Linked DNA regions of Drosophila melanogaster. The protein of the gene in region 4 interacts with the protein of the main gene of each other region in a pairwise test. Each region holds a gene or a part of one and is shown on either strand. Other genes may lie near its edges.

Region 1 (5,017 bases), on a different chromosome or scaffold from region 4:
GGAGCTGGCCATGTGCAGCTCGAGAAATTTTCTCACAGTCGCCAGAAAAATTGTAACGGCCCGTTGTTCAGCACACTCTCAGCACGCAGTGCACTGCACACACACACTTCCTGCCGCAGCCAGCGTTCCTCAAACCGGCCACGTATATTGTTTATATAGTTAACGAATGCGATACATTTAATCTTTAGTGTGTGTCAATTTGCCGTACAGTCATTTAGTTTGCATGTCCCTCGTCGATCCATCGAACAATCATCCCTTTTTCTGGGACCTGGGTCCCACGATGATGATGTCCCGACGTGAGCAGGAATACCATACGCGTATATGTATGCCACTTAGCGATGGACGATCCCAACCGATGCCATCCGAAACGAAACCCAGGGCCCAAGTGTTCAACAGAAGCTACAATTCAGCATTCATAATTGACAAGAGCAGGAGCGAGGGAGAGGGCGATATGTGTAGGGCCCACGATGGACAAGAAAAAATTAAATAAAATAAAGGGCAGGTGGTAGTTTTTTCAGCACTACCCGTGACTCGCACTAGCAGCTCGGTCAGATTTACAGTGGTTCGAATGGAACGAAAATTGGTTGAAAACAATTTAGGGTCTTGTCACAATCTTTAGATGCTTTTAGCTACAAACTACAAAATGGTTTCTTTTTTTAGAAATTTTTTAAACATCATAACCTGACAAGAACATCTTTTCCAAATATTTCTTTATTTCACCCATCTGGGTACAGTAATCCCATACATAGATATTCTGTAAACTGCAACCTTCACGAACCTTAATGTTTTTCAAGACTCAGGTTCCCACTCACCGTCGCAGCTAACAAAATTATCCGTAGCAAGTAGAAAACACCTTTCACAAAAGTCCCTATACTCGGACTATATATGCCTAGAAAAACCTCTAGGAACAAATGTACCTTTCCAACATAGCAGATAGTTTAGTAAAAATTCTTTACAAGTAGAAACACATCGAGAAATCCATAAACACTTACTCTAAAACCTGCAAGTCGTAAAATTGCACGCATGTTCCGTTTGGTAAAACCCCAAAAATCACATTCGAAAACTCACATTCCCACGACTTTGAATAGAGGTTCTCAAATTAACCGTAGCAAGTTGAGAACAGGCAACAAAAAATCCGTAAGATACTGATTTCCAAACCTGCGAGTCCCAAAATTGCACACATCTTCGCCTTGGAAAACCCCATTTCCGACATCCCAAAACTCGCATTCCCACGATCCCTACAGAAATTGCTAAAACTTTGTCTAGCAAGTAGATAACAGTATGCGTAAATTCCGTAAACCTTAAATTTCACGTAGTTGGAAAAGCCTTGAAGAATTCATTCAAGCAAGGCACCCTCAAAATTCCCGCATGTGTTTCATCGGTTTGGCCCACTGTGCCATGTGCATAAGGGCTCGGAACTCGGAGCTCGGACTCGGGACTCGCACACGGGCTACCTCCGATTATAACTTATAACACCAACGAGCGAGAAAAATCTTGTGGGAAACTTGAGGGCAAAGTGTTTCCCACGATTCGAATGTCAGTGGAAAGGAAAACAGAGAAGCAGCATGTGCAACCACCGTCGCACCACCACCACTGCACTATCGCATCTTCATCCCCTGCCGAGACTCACTTACACCGAACACCAGTGGCCATAGCAATAGTACTGAGAACATATTTAAAGTTCTAGATAATGTTTATATTTTCAAAATCACTACTATTAAGAAGTGTGCTAATTTAATTTTTTAGGTGTAAACGTATAACATTATGTTAATTTCTTTTTGTTTAATAAAACGACATTTAAGTGCTTTAAGGGAAACCCATTTGAAGTAATTGTTAAAAACGTAACGTACTTCTTAGGTATATAACAACAAATTTGTATATTCGCTCGAAGAACTATAGCTGCTTTAAACACATTTCTCATACTATTTTTACCGCAGGTGTGTTCCAAACTTGTTTGTGGAGAAAAACCCACCACCGAAAATGCAGGCGAGAGGATCGTGTCCCAGTGACTGAGTAAAAGTAGTTTGCTCCGCAGGTGGTGGTTCTTCGGAGGCTCCGCAGCTCTCTCTTCTCTCTTTCTCCGAGCAGCGTGCGCTGAGCACGAGACGCTCTCGCGGCGGCACGTGCAGCTATAAAAGCAGCGGTAACCGGAGACGAATGCAACATTTCGAACGCAATCGTCGTGCAGTCAACATCTCAGGATAACCTCCTCCGAAAGATCGAAGAAGTTCTTCAACAAGTCGTTCTTCCATTTACCTAAACGCAACAAATAAACAAAACAAACACACAATGGCCACCAAATACGAGATGTCGAAAACCTATCAGTACCGCAAGGTGATGAAGCCCTTGCTGGAGCGGAAGCGTCGTGCCAGGATCAACAAGTGCCTGGACGAGCTCAAGGATCTGATGGCCGAGTGCGTTGCTCAGACTGGCGATGCCAAATTCGAGAAGGCCGACATCCTGGAAGTCACCGTGCAGCATCTCCGCAAGCTGAAAGAGTCTAAGAAGCATGTTCCGGCCAATCCCGAACAGAGTTTCCGTGCTGGATACATCCGGGCAGCCAACGAAGTGTCCCGCGCCCTGGCCTCCCTTCCCCGAGTGGATGTGGCTTTTGGAACCACACTGATGACCCATCTGGGCATGCGTCTCAACCAACTGGAGCAGCCCATGGAACAACCGCAAGCCGTCAACACTCCACTCAGTATCGTCTGTGGATCCAGCTCTAGCTCCAGCACCTACTCCAGTGCCAGCTCCTGCTCCTCCATCAGTCCCGTTTCCAGTGGATATGCCAGCGACAACGAGTCTCTGCTCCAGATCAGCAGCCCCGGACAGGTGTGGCGTCCCTGGTAAACAAAGATCTACTTGGAAGGACTGAATTCCCGACGGGCAATCACGCAATTGGAACCGCAGCTTTAGAAAAAATGCTTTACAATGATCCTCATTTATTTGTTACGTTACCAAGTTTTAGGTTTCTAAGTTAAGTCTGTGATAGGGCACGCTTTATTAACTTTTGTCTTAAATCAATCGAGCAGAAGTCTGTTTTTTACTCTACATATATACAAATGTTTACCAGCTAAGAGATCTCAAGAACACAATATGAAAAGATACAAAATGAAAAACTTAAATACAAATCAAAATATGAAATGAAATTATACAAGAATCTTATTATTTGGGGAATCTATTTTACAGCACAATCCAATAGGGGATATTGAACTTCAGTATTTGTCTTTAAATTCCAATAGGAAGAAGATTCCATTGAAAATATTTAATGTTGGTATGCGCGAACTTTAAGGTCCAATATAATAAAACGATCGTGTGCACTAGCTTATTTAGGACACGTGTAAAAAAATGGACTTCCCATAAATTATGTTCATTATCTTAAAGCCCATCATTATCCTAAACGAGCTATATTAATAACAAGTTTCAATAACAGTTAAACATAATAGCAAAACATGCTCCACTAATGTGCACTTAGTTGTCAAGCATGCATTTAATAATAAAAAGGAATTTAATTTCATATTTTTAATGGTCGTTATTTTTCATTTGCACGATGTGTTTACTTATATTCTATTTCAGTAACTATTTTGTCAACAGACTATGAAATGAAAGTATTTGACATCCTTTAGCACAATACAATACATTGTTATAAACCTTAAATGCGGCATTATAATTTTTCCACCAATAAAAGGTCAATAAGAATGGTCAAGAAACATACAAATGAGTTTCAGCACGCGTCTCGATTACTTATCACACATTATACCCTATTATATTTAATCCCTTAAAATTTATTCTTTTACAATTAATCAATTAAATTACATCACATATTGAGGGTTGCAATAGCATTACGTAAAATCATAGGTAAGTGTATTCAATTCCAAATTCATACCACATTATTAACCTCTGACACCCAAAATACTATAAGAAGTGAGAGTATCCCTCCCCATTACAATAATCAATGACGTTGTTTTCCACCCATAAAATGTCAATATTAAGAACCCTCAAGATTTGTAAGGGAGATATACAAATCCATCTCAATTATTAAGTGAGGAAGTAGCATACCCTAGGCGGTTGCAAGGGAGGGACACAAATCCCATAGGTAGGCATCGATGTCAGAGGTCGATTAGTTTCCTAATAGAAACAGAGTTTATAAAAGTTAACTCGAAAGTGAAATTTACTCAATGGAATTCTAATACACCATACTTGCATGCGAAACCCAAGATTCCGAAACCAAAAGCACTTAATATTAGCTAATTAAAAATGGGTTTAGAAAGATACGCCAGACATTATAAGTTCCTATTAACTAAATTCAAAGAAAACTTTTGTATCCTATGATTACTTTAACAATCTTATTAGGATGAGCCACACATTGAACAAACCACATTTACCATAAGACAAGATATTTGAAAAGTGCACATCAATTAACCGGTGAAAAATTACTAATTACCAATTAGGGGGTTGCAGGAAGTTAACTATGTGCATCCCATAGGTAGACATTCCGGCACAAGGCCCACCTCACCTCAGCCTGGGCATTGAGTACTCAACCTCGGCCACGAGTGTGGCACGCGGGGCACACTTTCTGCGCCCGTTTGACCCACGTCCCCCTGCCAACCACCCAAAAACCCGAGATCAGACAGCCCAAACGATGGAACGATCGAACAACCAAGGCGACCCGGCACGAAGCCAATATGCCACATCCACTAATTGTGTCCAATAAACACTCGTCGACGGGGCACTGTGGGAACGGAAAGAGGAGATCTCAGAGTTCGCAGTTCGGAGGTCGGAGCAGGAGTAGGGGCTTATACAATCATCGTCTGCTGGCATTGATGAAACAATAAGCGAGTAGATGGCACGGCAGGATAACAATGCCAGAGCGGCCCACGCACAAGCAGTTCGGATCCCCTGCCCCTGCTCATCATGCTTCGATCCCATGTACCCATATATGAACGTTCCCATTCCAAACACGACAGGATGAGGCAGTGAAGTATGCATTAAGGATAATAACACCGGCCCAGAAAGC
Region 2 (6,265 bases), about 19 Mb from region 4:
CGAGACGAGGGACCCCAAGCATTTGTTTGACGCCATTTCATTCTTTATTGACGCGGCCAATTAAGAAGGCAGCGTTGTTGATTTGATTGCGAGGCGAATATGAATGCGACTGGAATTCCTCCATGAGTTCTAAATAAAGCTGGAGTCCGAAAAGTTGCCAGATGTAAAGAGCGGCGGCTCTCAGTCGCTGGGAACTCCAAGAAGTGGAGGCGATTTTCTAATCTTGGCCCAAGTTACAGACTCTATTGCACAAGGGGCTTATCAGAACCAAGCCAAAAACTTAAAACTGGACGCACAACATACAGCAAGATCTACAGCGGCAACAGTCTGGCAACGAAGCGTATACGTAATGCCAAGCAAAGTTCCATCCATTTAACGCTCTCGGCTCGTTTCAGTTCTCGGGCAGGTGTCAAGCGACGTACACACGAAACGCCGACGCGGTCACAATTCCAGAATATCATATACATGCTATATATGTGTATGCTCAAGTGGCTAATTTACATACGCGTTGCGACCCGTCTATTTACCTGAACCTGAGCTGTCTGGACTACACTCTTTAACATTTCCTTACGGAAAGCGAGTGTACAAAGTCACAACAAATTTTCAAGACATATTCTCGGTATATATATATTTCTGTATTCAAACATATCGCCATGCTGGACCCCATTTCGGACGCACCGCTGGTCTTGGCCTACGTCTTTATGTCGCTGCTGGTGCTCATTGTGTGCTTCATACTGGTCAATGTGGTCCACAAGCTGTATCGCAGTCTCAACGGCGAGGTATCAACGGGGCTGGTTTCTCCGGCACAGCAGCTGAAGACCTCCATCATGGAGCTAGACGCCATGAAGACCGGTTAGGATGGGTGCAGCGCAGCTGGCTATGAGAGGCGCGAGAATCTCAAGTCTCAGTCTCCGATGTCAGAGCTCCGGTTTTAATTCGGGCGATTGGAGCGATGTACGACGAACGACAGCTGCTGACCACCCACACGCACGAACCACACAACCTAGACGCCTGTTGATATGTTAAGCTATGCAACTAGACTAGACGTAAATAAATACACGAAACTAGGCTTACGAGTAGAAATTAACTACATTAAACGCGCTGGTCCTCTAGTCACTTAATTGTTTGTTTTTGCCCTAAGGTTAGGTTACATGTACATTGATATTGTAAATAAAATAACGTGAACGATAACTGAACTGCAATTAAGGTAGATTGGGGGCAAGTACAAAGCACTTAACCGATCCGTCCAGACAGTAAAACGTCGCCTGATCGAACGATGCGTAGAAAAGGCACAACAGCCTTATCGTTGCAGTATCGAGACGTATAATTTGTGAGTCAATCAAATGCGTGATAAGGATCCCTGACTTAGTCATAGATTTATACATAGTTTATTTAAAATAGCATGTTCATCTTTAAATTTGCAATAAGAGCGCAGTTTGTTGTTGTGGTAGCTGAATGAGTACGGACTGCAAGAGACGTCAGCTTTCGGGCCCAGGGCCTCGCGGCTTCGACAAGTTCTGGTAAACGGTGTTGGGGATTGGATGAGCGTAGAAATGATAGCAGCAGGCTGCTGGTGGTTCTGTGGCAGTGGTATCATCAATCTGTGGGATCACTGTAACAAAGGAAACATTACTAACAATTCTCGGTTCGTTTTTATTCCAAATCTCACCCCGAGAAAGTCTTTGGGTGCTGCGACGTTAGGTCATCATCCTGGCTGCCAAGAGCCTTTTTCACATACTGCCAAATGGAATTTAAACAAATAACATATAACCAATAACCTCACAATAGAACCTACCATTGGATTTAAAATGATCTCCTCCTCCATTTTGTTGATCTGCCTAACTTGATCCAGAACGTGTGTTATATTATTTTGCACGTTGAGGAACATCTCCGGTGAGTTGTATTTCTCTGGGTCGTCTTTGAACAACACCATACCGTCCTTTTGATTGATGCTGGCATATATTTCACCCGATTTTATCTGCAATTAGGTATTATCTCGGTATAAATAAAAAACGAAAAAAGAAGACAACTTCTTACCATGTTGAGAATGTAACGCTCTGCTTCGACTGCGCTGGCAAGTTGGACACGACTGGCCACATCGCTCAGGGAAAGGGTCAAGAAGGTTTTAGTGAGCCGCTGGATGTTTCGCTTGTACAAGGAGGTAGCCACCTAAGGGGATACCCAATATTAAAGTTTCATAGTTAGATGGTTCTGCCAGTTATCTTATTAAAAAACTGTGTTGTTTAGAATACAGAAAAATCTAAATTTAATTTCCACCGGAAATAATTTTATGTTTATATTATGTTTATACTTCCGCATAAATTTAATTATTTTTTTTTTATTTGAAACGGTGAGTAATTAAAAGTTCAATTTGTAGCACTGTTCAACCTTGAAAAGAATTGGGTGTTTTTAATTTTTTTTTCGAATACCGTCTTACTTTTTACATACGGAAGCCACAGATTAGAAAAGAACCAGGAATGACCCTTAAATACTTGCCTGCTTGGCCAGTCCCATATTGTTATCACGCGTAAATGCTTCACTGTACTTGAGTATGATAATGCGCAGCTCTTCGCTAGACGAATTCGCGTACACATTGACCAGGTCGTGGTAGTGATTGGCCATCGGCTTCATAAAACGACCAATGACCTGTGTGTTTTTTGGTATATACGCTATCTGCAACCGACACAAGATTTTCCGATTGAGAGACTGATATATAAACGGAACTAAATTGTTGTCCAGCTTACCTTGCCTTCGACGATGAGTGAAACCATGAGAAATTTTTTGTAGGCCTCCAGCATGATGTGCGACATGGCCATTGCCGGAGTGGTGATGCAGACTTCGAAGAAGTACAACGCACGCTCGTAGTTCTTCACCGCCGTGTAGATCATGCCGCCGTAGTAGAAGTACAGCAAGAAGTACTTGGCATCGTTGTTGGCATCCTAAAAAATTAATCTATGAGTTCTAGTAGCCCAGAAGTTCATTTTCAACCGTGAATACCGCGTGCTGGGACTGCTGCTGCTGTTGCGTCTTGCACTCGGCTGCCACGGTGGAGATGTCCGTGATGTCCGCGTCCAGATACGGCAGCACCACACTGAAGTTTTTCGCCTTCAGGCTGAGCAGGCAGAGATCGGCGTGTATGGGAGTTAACTGGGTTTCCAACTGTCGAATCTGGTCGATGGCGCGCGAAATGATGCGTATGCCCAGGATGCTGAGGTTCTTTTGCACCACAAACTCGGTAAACAGATGGCATGTTTCGTAAACTGAATGGGATATGTGATTACTTTTAGGGTACTTTTGGAACAGAAGATTCATGTCTCACAGGCGCACACCGCATAGCGCAGCTGCTCGTTATTGTTGCGCTGCACAAAGTCCCGCATCAGCTGGATAAGTTGTACCGGCTCCGGATTCGCGGTGGACGCACTGTGCAGTTTGGCCAGGAGCACATAGAGCACGCCCAGCGAGTGCTGCTGCATGTCTAGCGTCTCCAGCACGTTGTCCAGAATGCTCCAGTTGCGGGCTAGCAGCGACAGCGACTCCGGCAGCTCCTCGGCCAGCTCCCGATAGCTTCCTGTGATGAAAAGCCAGCCAGCAAAGTTAGTTGCGAATCGCTTTAATATCAAAACAAAGGCGGCAACGAGCCCGGTTTCTTGAGGATCGTTCTTCGCCGGTCGGCCAACTTACCGGACGCACTCAGTGTGCGCACTTGATTCACATAGTTTTCCAGCGCGCTGCCCATTTTAGGTAACTCCGAGACTACTTTTTGGCCTATTAACTTGCAAAACTGCGAAAAATAATTTCGCGAAATAACAAATGACTGCCGACGGATTAGAGCTGGGAATAAAACGATGAATATTCGGTGCTGTCGATTTCTTATCGATTAGTGGCCTAAAGACAGCGTTGTTCTACACTGGCTCTGTAATAACGCGCCATCTATAACTTATAACACTATCACTCAGCTGGAAAAATTTAGAACAGGCACACAAAAATTAAAGGATTAAGACACTTGATGCTCTTCTTTGTACTCTATACTATATAAATTTAATTCGCGCACTTACCATTAGAATCAGCGTTATGCCATGTTTATAATTTAATTTATGAAATTTTAAGAAAATTATTCTAAAACAACTAGTTCAAATTTCGATTAGAATCAGCGTTATGCCATGTTTATAATTTAGTTTATGAAATTTTAAGAAAATTATTCTAAAACAACTATTTCAAATTTCGATAGTGCAGCCGCGATAGTGCTCACTATTTTCGATAACACTTTGTTGCTGTTATTGAATTGCTGTTAATATCCCAATACGAAATGTAACTAATATAAAATGGAAAATTCTGCGCGAATCGTATATGTGTGCAGTCTCTGCCTTCGTCAATATGATCTCCAGGAGGATCTTCGAGGACATCTCGTCTACTTTCACGGCTATGAGCCCATCTCAACGCCCAGTGTCAAAAACAAAACTGCGAAGACTTCAACTAAGGAACAAACTGCAGCCGGCAGCAACAGCCAGGATAAGCAAACCGTTGTGGAGCGATCGGAGAACTCGGAACCCCCGGCAAGTGAACTGCAGCCCATGCCTTTCAAGGACTTTCGGCTGGTGCTAAGGGCCAACATGTTAGAGCCGTATGTATGTCCATATTATTACCATAAGCTTCTGACAAACTCGTTTGTTAAAGGTGCTCCTTTGGAAAGGAATGCCCCTTCAAGTTCCAAGATGCTACCAAAATGGAGCTCCACTGTAGTTGCCATAAGGGTGGCAGTTTTTCCTGCTGCGAATGTGGCATGGAACTGCCCAACTGGCGGCGGTGCTCGGCTCACCTGTGGAAAGCCCACCAGGTGGATGTGGACCTACTAGTGTGTCCCGTTTTCGAATGCAACTACAAGTCGCCCATATCCGCTCTCGTGTGGCGCCACATGCAGGTTCACAAAAAGTGGCGACCCAGGGTGCTCCGGTCACTGGCTGCCGTTCAGCGGAGAAGAAAGCTCAAGGAACAGTCCGCAGAGATGGCCGCGCAACCTGCTGCTCTGCCACCATCGTCAAAGAAAAACAAATACTATGCCGAGAAGACTTGCGAGATTTGCAATCGCAAGTTTGTCAACGGTAAAACGCTCTCTAAACACGTGAAGACTGTTCACAACAAAATCAAGCCATTTATCTGCAATGTGTGTGGCAAAAAGACGGCTCGCAAGGCTAGCTTAATAGTGAGTTCAGATAGCACTTTACGATCTTCTTGCTACCTAATACTCTTTCCAGATTCACATGCGTCAGCACACGGGCGAGAAGCCGCTGCAATGTGGCGAATGCAAGTTCTCCACTCGCGATCCCAGTGTCCTGCACAAGCATCGGCAGCGTCATGATAGCCAGGACACAAGGAGCAGCCTGAAATGTAGTCAGTGCGACTACTTCTGCATCCAAGCCAATGCTCTTAAGCGCCACATGCGGCTCAATCATGCCGAAGCCTATAGGGACTTGTGCTGTGATATCTGCAGCTTCACCTCAATTAATGTAGAACGACTACGAGCCCACAAACAGGATCATCGACAGGGCTTGATCACAAATTGTGAGGATTCTATGGATGCACGTGCCGCTGGCTTCAAGTATCCTCGAAAAGTGGGCGACAAGAACGGGGAGGTATGTCCCCTGATCTTCTCATCATCTTTTATCATTTGTATAAGCTACAGTTTATTTTGCAGATTTCAGCTGACTGTTTTATGCCGTTGGAGAGCGTGGATTCATTGCCCCATGAACCAGCTCTGGATACGGGTGGTGTAACCATACCAGCTCCTCCATCTGAAGATACTCAATTTCCCACGTACTTAAAGGACTAAAATTATAACATTTTAAGTTGATAGATTAGGGGTAAGCGTTGAGTTGATTCACTTCCCATTTTTTATTGATTACTTTGTTTTTATGTCCTATGTATTTATGTACAATTCAATTTGTTGAATATGGCGTGTCCAATGCGCTGTAAAGAGTTTTGTATAAAATAATGTTCTCATGCAGTTTGTTTTGGGGATTTAAATGCTTGTTTATTAAGTTGTTCAGTTTTCCATTTAAATTTAATATCATTTTAGAATCTGATATGATTTTTTTGTTCAACATTCGAATTATTTAGTCATGCTGGTTTACCGTGTTCCGTTTAATTATCAGTTACGCTTTACTTTAAACTAATTTAAAATTTAAAAATCTACTCTGCCAGCGATAATCATCCGGTTTCAGTTCGGTTTCAAGATCAGCGCCGTTAAATCTAGTTTACGACAGAAATG
Region 3 (3,823 bases), on a different chromosome or scaffold from region 4:
TTGTGATATCGGCTCAGAACAAGAGTCGCCAGCCAGTGCGCGACTTTCAGTTCGAGGCCAGCGTGAAGAAGGTGAGCGAATCAGAGCTGGAGAAGATTACTGGTCATCGAGGTGACCGGACTAACAAGCTATCATTCTATTCCGCAGCCCTGCAAGGTGCGCCTGTTGACGCCGACGGACAGCCAAATGCCGCCGCACAAGCCCTTCCGCCCGGCCACGCCCATCAACCAGGTGATGCTCCTGCTAAATCCGACAGGCAAGGCCGTGGACGTAACATGCATTGTGGGCTACAAGCTGGGCGACGATCCGGATCCCATCAAGGAATCGATTGTGGCCAAAGGCATTGACTATGTGGACTAAAATACCCCGACATATAAGTATCACCCGCTCCCGTCCACTGAAAGCGCAGGAGGAAAATGAAAAGAACGAAAGACAGTCAATTTTCCCGCATCTATGTTGTGCTCCCCATTATCTTAAAGATACTTTTGGTTTTTCAATTTCTGTATTGTATGTGTATGTACGCTGATAAGATTTTTATTCAAATTGCATTTTGCATACAAACGATTTAGTCGTAATATAATTATGTATCAAAGGTTTATAAATTATGAAAAAGTCGCTACAAAAGCCAAGCGCTCATTTTCAGAGGTATTCTCATTAATCTGTTCAATTGTTGTGTGGATGTTGTTTTAGTTGATGCTTCAGTTCAGTTCAGTTGTCGTGTTGCCCATATATGGATTCATTGCTACTCTCCCCACTGTTTCAAAAAATGCCAAATTATTTGTTCCTGGCGGATTGTCTCGCTGGGTTGGCGGTTTTGCGGATGATTGTACATCTGAGATATTTGTTGATTTAACTGGCTTAAGATAGATCGTAATTAAGTTCGGAAGTGAATTAATGAGCACTGCTGGCAGTTTTTCAAACATTAAGGATATCAATTTTTTTGAGACTATGAATTACCATTTTATATATATGCATCTAATTGGGAAACGTAAGCTGAACTAAAACATTGAGTCTAATTAAGAGTAGAAACTAAAACCGCGATGCTTAACAAACCATTACAATTGCCATTCATTTTGTGTGGACTTAAGCCAGCTAATTGGTAGAATGACTAAAACTAGTAGGCCAATCTTTGGGGAAAGCCAAATGAAAATCCGCCACCAGGAGCCACTTACAAAGTGCCTAGACTCTAGCCGCTAGCTACTACTACTACTACTACAACTACTGCTATTTGCCCACGATCTCGTCCTTGAAGGACAGGGCAGTGATGGCCTTGGTGTGACCAGTATAATCCCTAATCGAACTCTTTGTCTGCAGCTTCCACAGTCGTGCAATGCCGTCGGATGAGGCTGTGAACAGCCATTTAGAATCGGCGCTAAAGGCGGCATCCCACACCCAATAGTTCTCGATGCACAGCTCGCGCCATTTGCTAAAGTCATCCGTCTTCCAAATGCACACAGTGCCATCGCCGGATGTCGTCAGCAGTAGCCTGGAATCGGGACTGAATTTGCAGCGCAGTATGTAGCGAGAGTGGGCCGGAATTTTCCTGTTCGGCCGCAGCGTGCTCATCTTCTGATCCTGACTGGTCAGCGACCAGATGTAGCAGTTGCCCTTGTTATTGGCCGCCGCCAAGTATCTGCCATCCGGCGAGATGGCAACATCCTGAATGGATGCGTCCACCTCGGGCACGATGCGTTCGTGCCGCTCCGACTTGACGTCCCACAGAAAGACGCTGCCATTTTGTGAGCCCATGGCGATCTCCACCTGGTTGGGATGCAAACAGGCGGCATTTACCGGCGCCTCACAATCAAAGATCCGGGAACAGTGTGGCGGTGCGGCAATCATGTCCCAGATCCGCACGTGATGATCCTCGCCGGCGGTGAACATCCAATTGCCGTCCTCTTGGAAGCCAAGTCGCGTCACATTCTTTTGCACGCCATCGAAATTGATCACCGGTGCGGTGCAGTTGGACTCCAGGTCGTACAGCCGGATGCACTGGTATCCGCACGCCGCCAGTCGCGTCTTATCCGGTGTCCTGTCTAGCGCATTCACTTGCTGCAAGTTAAAGCATGTTCGTTAACCGGAAAATGCACGAATCGGTTTATTCCTACCGAGGTCTCCACGAATCTCATCGTCTTAATGCAGTTGCCCGTGTGCGCCTGCCACACCTTAATGGTGTGGTCATAACCACCGGTGGCCAGGATCAGCTGCTGTTGGTCCCCCATCCTGTGATTGCACAGATTAATTGACAATTTCCGCGTTTTTTTGCCCCAATGTTTTCATTTCACCAGACCTATCGGTCCATTGGTCCTCGATACGCGCCTATCGCGCTTATCGATAAGTGGCGCGGTGCTGGTAAGCGCGAAAATATATTCTTATTAGAATAAAACCTAAAGCGCAGCAACAAAATCGTTTTCAAAAAACACTATTAATTGATATCAGTATAATTTTAGGTTTTATTACAAAAATGCGTACTGATTTACATATCAAGTCTTTCTTTTATCCGCATAAATAATCATTAGATTAGATATAACACAAAAATTATGTCAAATCAAAAAAATTTTAACTGAAAAATTTTGATAATTTACGGTACCTGGTTTATATAATCGAGATATTTTCCATATAAAGTATTATAGAATTATCTTAATAATATTTATTATCCCAAAACTCGGACATTAGCAGAAAATAAAAAAAAGAAACTGACGCAGCTTTGGTTATTGGGAAAAATGTTTATTGGTTGAATAACTTAGCAACTGGGATTAGTCCGGGACCAGCGTAACGTACAAGGATTGGGTCTGAGTGGAGTGAGCGGCGTTGGCCATCTACTGCTGTGCGGTGGGAGCAGTTTCCGCTGCCGTGCGGTTGGCATCCTCCGGTTTCATGGCGGGGAACAGCAGAACCTCCTACAAAAAAAAAGAAGCCTCATTTAGCAACGCTTGCAATAAGTTAAAGACCAAGTGTAGACCCACCTTGATGTTGTTGGAGTCCGTGAGGAACATGGCCAGGCGATCGATGCCCATGCCAAAACCACCGGTGGGCGGCAGTCCGTACTCCAGGGACGTGCAGAAGTTCTCGTCGACCAGCTGGGCCTCATCATCGCCGGCCGCCTTGTCGCTGGCCTGCTGCTCGAAACGCTCGCGCTGCACAACCGGATCGTTCAACTCGGTATACGCGTTGCAAATCTCCTTCTTGGCCACAAACAGTTCGAAGCGCTCCGTCAGGCCGGGAATACTGCGATGGTACTTGGCCAGCGGCGACATGATCTGCGGATGCTCACAGATGAACGTTGGATTCACGCAAAACTCCTCGATGAATTCGCCGACGAGCTTGTCCAGCAGGCGGGCAGTGGTGCGCGGAGCTGGGCACTCGACCTGGTGCTTAGCGCACAGCTGAGACAGGAACTGATTCGTCTCTGGCGAATTGAAGGTGTCGGCCGCGGGGAACTTCACCTGCAGCTTCTCTTCCAGCGTTTTGATCATGGATACGCGCTTAAAGGGCGGCGTAAAGTCAAGTTCTTGCTCAGGTCCCTCTGGACCCTCCGGATGATAGATGACCTTGTAGGAGCCACGGATCGCTTTCACCATTCCCGAGACCAACTGCTCGGTGATATCCATAATGTCAGCGTAGTCGGCATACGCCATGTAGAACTCGCACGTGGTGAATTCAGGATTGTGGGTGAGGTCGATGCCCTCGTTGCGGAACTGCCGTCCGATCTCGTACACACGATCGAGTCCACCCACCACCAGCATCTTGTGATACAGCTCCGGAGCAATGCGCATGAACAGATCCATCTTGAGGTCATTGTGATGCGTCACGAAGGGCTTGG
Region 4 (5,991 bases):
AGTCTGCAGCTGCCGTGTCGATGCTCGTTTTAATTTGTTTGTTTACATTTTCGGCTGCCCCCCCCACCTGCAGCCGCGGCGAAGTTTGTTCCCATCCCGCGGCTGGGCGAAATGTTTGGAAATAGAGGTCGGTCCATGGGGATTGGGTATCGGTGGGAGTAGGCTGCACCACTGGGAGCTGGGCGTGTGTTTTGGTGTTAACAACTCGACACTTCATTAATTGAAGTTGAAAAAGAGCAGCTATAAAAAGACCATTAAGCTTCAGGCCCACAACAATGCAGCAGATAGATGCCGCATGTACACACAAAGAAATTTTGTAAAGTTCTAATGCTTGCCTTGGGCATCTGATAAACTTATGTTTTATCTTTTCATATATATAAACTTCAAATGCATTTTCCGAGTGCAAATGATTTTCGAACTATCAAAGTGAACTTCGAGTGGCTGCAGTGCGCATTGAATGCAGGGATATAACAAATTGAAAGACGATGGCGGGAAACTTTCCGAGTCTCAGTTCGCATTAGACGCAAATTTGATGGCTATTGAAAAGTTCAATGGTTTCGTGCGTCTCTTGAACTGCCTCCACCAAGTTGCCTCCAAGTTTCATCCGAAGCCGAAAAGTGGCACTCAATTGAGTGTGAGAGCTTTGTTTACCACACACATGCCGAAGCAAAAAAAAAAATTTTTTGGAATGGGAAGACAGACATAGACGCATCAAAACTGGGCTAATAGAGAAACTCAATGTGAGCATATCATAATTAGAAATTTGGCAAGACGTGGCATTATCTAGAGATATTCCAATATTTCCAAACATTTAATGGGCATCGCTTAATGGCACAACTCTTGGGCAAGAACCGATCGCGGATCCATCCAAAGATCGCTCCCCCAAGCGATTGGATCGTCGTCACACATAAATAGTTCACGAGCCATCCGAAGGCAGTGGACATAAAAATAAATCTATATGCAAATGTGACTCCAGTTTAACATGCCACAGCGACAGGCAGATGGAGATGCAGGCGGCAATTCGAGGGTGAAGTCTAGGCCTAGCCAAAAATATGTAGGGTAAACACGGGTGATTCGACTACAGGAATGATAATGATAAAAAGTCAAAGTTTTAAATCTAAACCAATAATAAACCATCTATAAAATTAAGATCAATATGTTGCCATTAATAATTATTATATTTATGTAGCTGTTAACATTCGAGTATGCCCCTTTATCTACGAATACCCTATAAAAATAGTTAAATCCCGACAGTCAAGGACTCCTTTCATTGCAGGCCCATCCCAGAATCCCTGGCGCAGAGGCGTCTGCAGTTTAGTGCCTGTCTCTGCGACTTTGAATCTTACAAAATGTGACAAGTTGCGGAATTATTTTTCGCAGAAGATGTTCTTCGACTTGGGTTCTTTTTGCCCATTTAGTTGCAGTTTGGTTTAGTTCGGTTCTGTTCTGTTCTGCGTGCAGATGAGCTGAGATTGATAAGCGGCGAGGAGCGTGAACAGGCCCGAATCCGCGGATCCGCACCATCCTGGTGGTGCAGCTTGGAGGAGCCTCTGTTCCAGCGCGAGATGCAAGTGCTTAGATAAAGGCAGCGATTTATGTGGAAGCTCCTGGGAGCTGCTGGGCGGAGCAGCCGGCGATGACAACAGTAGCTCCATCCCATCGAATGCCACGTCCCATTCCGTCCTCCAGCCGCGAATAAGCCGAGGTGCCAGCAATTTAGTGGCGATTACAACCGGCAATGGCATTTTAAGTGGCCATTGTCAAGACGCGATCTGTGGGCGTGTGATAAGCGCCGGCTCCCGTGTGGGCGATCGATTCCCCAGGTGTGGGAGTGGGTGGCCCGGATGGTGGCATGGTGGCATGGTGGCAGCTCGTTGAACCAAACTTGGTAGCAGAGGTGAGAAAACACGTTCTGTACTTAGACTACTTGTTTCTGGCTATTAAGGGTCAACAATAGCTCTCTTTTCATCACTCAATAATTTATATAGCCAAAATTTAAACGTACAAAATTAGTCGTTGCACTTCATACACTTCGGACCAGGAGGATGAATCGTTCGCGGCACATACGATGGATTCCTCTTCTGAGCCACCTCCTCGGCCCACAGTTTGTTGAGATAATCCTCCAGCTTGGCCACAACATCCTCCTCTTTGTCCACGCCGTCGGAACAGGTGGCAAAATCACTGCCCGAAGATGCAGATGAAGAAGTGCTGTGGCAAACATTCGAGGACTCGCTGCAGGAGTCGTGCTTGCAGTCGATGGGACAATGGTGATTGTCCCAGTCCTCTGGGGGTTCCACAGCTTCATCATAGCTGGTATCTTGCTCCTCTTCGCCAAGCGGTTGGGAAACAGGTTGGGAAATGGCCACTGGTTCCTCCAGACGATACCACTTCACCTTGTAGGAGTCTTGGCCGCATTCGCCAAACTGCTCGCCCGTCAACTGATCGATGTTGCATTCGCAGATGAGGAAGGGCGAATTGCACTGCTGGCATCTGGGTAGATTAACCTCATGGTTGATGATCGGACGCGGTGGCTTCTTCATCCTGACCTCCTTATCCATTTGCGGAACTTGCAAGCCACAGATGATGCAGGGTTCTGGTAGATCTGCACCCTCCGACAGCTTGATCTTCATCATTTGCCTTTGGCCGGCCTTGGGATGTCCGGGAACTTCCTGCTTGGAACAGCCCTTGCAAGGACAGCCCGGCACCAGGAGGGGATCCGATCTGGTAGTCATCCGTTGATACAGCGCTGCATAAACCAGATTGATCTGCCTCTCGTAGTGCTTGTGGGCCCAAAAGAAGGCCGCCTTGTAGTTGTCGAAGATCCTGGATGTCTTGTGCGCCGCATGCATCCAAGCAGCATATTGGGTGTGCACCGCCATCGCATCCACTATGGGATTGCTGATCGTCACCGGTGGCTTGCCGTGATAGAAGGCCTTAAAGGCCCGCTTGATGATGGCATAGGTGAGCATCGCCTCCACCGGTTCCATTTCGCACTTCAGTCGCAGAGCCTGGAGCAGGTCCTCCCGATTCAAGCGACTGTCAGTAGCCGGATTTGGTGGACAATTGGTGCGCAGTCGTTCATGGTAAACGAAAGCCCTCTTAATTATCGACCTGGCAGCGCTGGATTTGCTTGTGCTGATGCCACAGATCAGCATTATCTGCGCCAGGCTCTTGGCTATATCCTCCACATTATCGTCAAACAGTTGGTAGGGATCCAGCTTTCTCCTGCAGTTGCAGCAGCACCGCTTGATTCCCCCAGGAGGAACTCCCGCCTCCTCCTGCAGTTTTCTGGCCCTCTCATAATTGTCCATTGCAATTTGGTTGTTGATGAAGTAAGGAGACAGCAAACGTATCACTTTAAATTTCACTTTTGACAAAACACAAAAATTGTAGATGCTATACACAGATTTCTGATGGACCATATAGTCGCAGACTACTGTATCGAATTCTTTGGCTATTCCATGAAAAGAAAGCTCATAAACTAACCAATACAAAAGTATTGTCAACCTATCTGGCATCCATAAACCTACCAATTTGTGAGCAAACTTGACACACAATTTGATTTGAATGCACAATCTTCGATGAAGAATGCACTTCCCATTTCGATTGGAACTAATGCCATGGCTAAGTTTACCATAATAGAACAATAATCGGTTTGTCCCAATATTTTCCCTAGCCTGTTTTAATTTGGTTATCTGACCCACTGGTGGCCCTATCTAGGATTACACACAGACCCCACACAAGAATGCATTATTTTATCTCGGGACTCGGGTCTCGGTTCTGATCGTAGCTGCAATTATGCTAAATAGATTCGAGCCGACTGACCATCGAAATAAATAAGCGCAAAGAACACGACAGAGCCAAACGATGGCTGTTGTGTCAGACCTAAATTGTTCAAATAAATTAAGTTGTAGCTTTCGAATGGATTGGGGGGATTTGGGAATTGGAGATCGGTGTCTTTGGTGTGGGGATTGGGGCAAGCAAATACGGGAACGTAAACGTTCAGAGGCCGCCGCCTGTTGCATTGTCATTTGATAAATTATGATATTTGATCAATTGTTCCGCTGCGGTGGCTGGAAGTGCTGCTGCCTCGGATATGTGGAGAAGAAGTACGTGGATGAGATGAAGACGTCTCCGCATCCATGCCCGCATCAAGTCCACCGAATGAACTTTTGTTGGGTTTACATTGTAATGGCATCTGGCGGGGCAAACACACAAACACCCAGTCAGTTAGGCAGTCGGATGGTTAGTCCCATATCCATCCATTCATCTGCATAATAGAATTTCCAGGGGTATGAGCATTGGGGATTTCGAAAGGGGGTGAGGCTGCCTCTTTATTGTGGCTAATAGGCCTCTTGGCCGCTTTGTTGTTGTGCCGCCTCAGCCGCCTTCGTTTGCATTCGCTTTGGTCACCATCACCTCACCATCTCCATCTCCATCTGTACCAGCTCACCATCAACATCTCACTCTGCCATTGGCATTTCTATGTGGATTAATGAATGGCAGCAGCTCCAAGATGGGTAGGAATAAGCTGAAGATGAAGTCACACTGGGAAAAATCGTATTCTATTCTCTTACAATATCACATCCTTGAGATATAAACTTGATTTTAGTTGTAAGAAGCAATCTAGCTATAGATTTCGTATTTTGCTCGTACTACTTATAAATGTACTTAAATCATCGACACTTGCATATATATTTTTTTTTTTTTGCTGTGCCTCAAAGTAGACATGTGTTTACCTTCCACATAGACACACACACACACACACACACATCCATTGTCCCGCGTATTTCGCACGTCTTTTTGCTGCGCTGCGCGAATTTCGTCATATACGAGTCCGGTCAGCCGTAAACTGCAACATAAACCTGCAAATCCACTCTGGGGTTTGCGCCGCGTTTCTGAGCGTCACGGTGTCGTTCCGGAATTCACGAGTGATCCAGTAAACTGGTAATAAATCAGATCAGCTGCATCAGACAATACAGCTGATAGCATTGCCAACCTTTCGCAGTCGACGAGCTGGTTAGACTGGCGTTGCCAGATCAGCGGTGCGATCGTCATTCGGCCGCGCGCTCGTTGGGCGCGAAATTCGAATTCAAATTCAAATTTGAACTAATTAAGTTGAACAAAAATTTGAAATATAACCTAAGAACTGAAGCTAGTTCTATTTCCCACGGAGCGCTGGGGACCAACAAGCCAAAGTCCCCCTTTTATATCTGATGGACAGAACAGGGGGGGGCAGTGCCCCCGACCCCAACGACCCGTTTAGGAGGAGTGGTAGGCTATCGAGATCCCCTATAAGAGGAGTCGGAACCCAAATCCAGGGAGGGGGAGGTGAGCAAGCAGGCCCCCCGCCGCCGAAAGCTAGCGACTGCAGTGCAGCTGTGGAGGTGGAGACTCTGGCCACTACAGTCTCCACGACAGCCACAAGCCTGAAGACAATGGATTTCATCAGCGTGCCGGCCCAAAGGGCGGGAGCGAAGTCCCCATCAGGATCGCCGCATCGCTCGCCAGAACTGACCACGACGCTCCAGAATGAGGACCTGCAGGGCATCCTGGACATGATGAAAGCCAAGATCACCGCCATTCTATCCTCGTTCGAGACTAGGCGTCACGTAACCAGCGAGGATAGGGGCGTGCTAGTGGACCTATCGGCGCTCAATAAGAGAGCGATTGAGTTACAGGAGGGTATCAACAAGAAGCCCCCACCAAGGAGTACTGCCACACAGACTGAGGCAGAAAAGACAAAGCGTAGCCAGGTGGCGCCACCCAGACAGGCATTACCGAATGTGCAGGTCCGCAAAACGGACAACCATCGATCTGCCGCGAAATCCACCGGGAAGGCGTTACCCACGACGGCTGACTCCAAACCGGAAAGTTATGCGTCTGTCGCCAAGGACGCTAACAAGGACGAGGAATGGGCTAAGGTGAAGCCCAAGCGCCTGCGCAAAAAACCTGAGGCGCTAATCCTGAAAAAAACGGGTGAGGTTACGT

What was found.
Region 1: the proteins of CG9173 (region 4) and E(spl)m7-HLH interact in a two-hybrid assay, tested with the Drosophila melanogaster proteins (one large-scale study listed by BioGRID).
Region 2: the proteins of CG9173 (region 4) and CSN3 interact in a two-hybrid assay, tested with the Drosophila melanogaster proteins (one large-scale study listed by BioGRID).
Region 3: the proteins of CG9173 (region 4) and Lst8 interact in a two-hybrid assay, tested with the Drosophila melanogaster proteins (one large-scale study listed by BioGRID).

Annotation. Positions count from the first base shown.
Region 1 is NT_033777.3:26,034,874-26,039,890, forward strand, and holds E(spl)m7-HLH (enhancer of split m7, helix-loop-helix), read left to right. Parts: upstream 1-2,164; 5' UTR 2,165-2,289; coding exon 2,290-2,850; 3' UTR 2,851-3,146; downstream 3,147-5,017. UniProt on the Drosophila melanogaster protein: Participates in the control of cell fate choice by uncommitted neuroectodermal cells in the embryo. Transcriptional repressor. Binds DNA on N-box motifs: 5'-CACNAG-3'.
Region 2 is NT_037436.4:20,837,729-20,843,993, forward strand, and holds CSN3 (COP9 signalosome subunit 3), read right to left. Parts: upstream 3,849-6,265; 5' UTR 3,737-3,848; coding exon 3,682-3,736; intron 3,569-3,681; coding exon 3,320-3,568; intron 3,261-3,319; coding exon 2,998-3,260; intron 2,940-2,997; coding exon 2,745-2,939; intron 2,674-2,744; coding exon 2,497-2,673; intron 2,170-2,496; coding exon 2,038-2,169; intron 1,979-2,037; coding exon 1,796-1,978; intron 1,738-1,795; coding exon 1,670-1,737; intron 1,613-1,669; coding exon 1,597-1,612; 3' UTR 1,368-1,596; downstream 1-1,367. Other genes in the region: CG13255 (uncharacterized protein), read left to right, coding at 654-857; CG11456 (uncharacterized protein), read left to right, coding at 4,323-4,621, 4,675-5,200, 5,253-5,630, 5,693-5,827. UniProt on the Drosophila melanogaster protein: Component of the COP9 signalosome complex (CSN), a complex involved in various cellular and developmental processes.
Region 3 is NC_004354.4:9,603,654-9,607,476, forward strand, and holds Lst8 (Lst8), read right to left. Parts: upstream 2,317-3,823; 5' UTR 2,223-2,316; coding exon 2,109-2,222; intron 2,053-2,108; coding exon 1,225-2,052; 3' UTR 501-1,224; downstream 1-500. Other genes in the region: Gga (Golgi-localized, gamma-adaptin ear containing, ARF binding protein), read left to right, coding at 1-71, 148-360; LysRS (Lysyl-tRNA synthetase), read right to left, coding at 2,820-2,900, 2,967-3,823. UniProt on the Drosophila melanogaster protein: Subunit of TORC1 and TORC2, which regulate cell growth and survival in response to nutrient and hormonal signals. Essential for TORC2-mediated regulation of cell growth and phosphorylation of Akt1.
Region 4 is NT_037436.4:1,420,052-1,426,042, forward strand, and holds CG9173 (uncharacterized protein), read right to left. Parts: upstream 3,421-5,991; 5' UTR 3,312-3,420; coding exon 2,010-3,311; 3' UTR 1,148-2,009; downstream 1-1,147.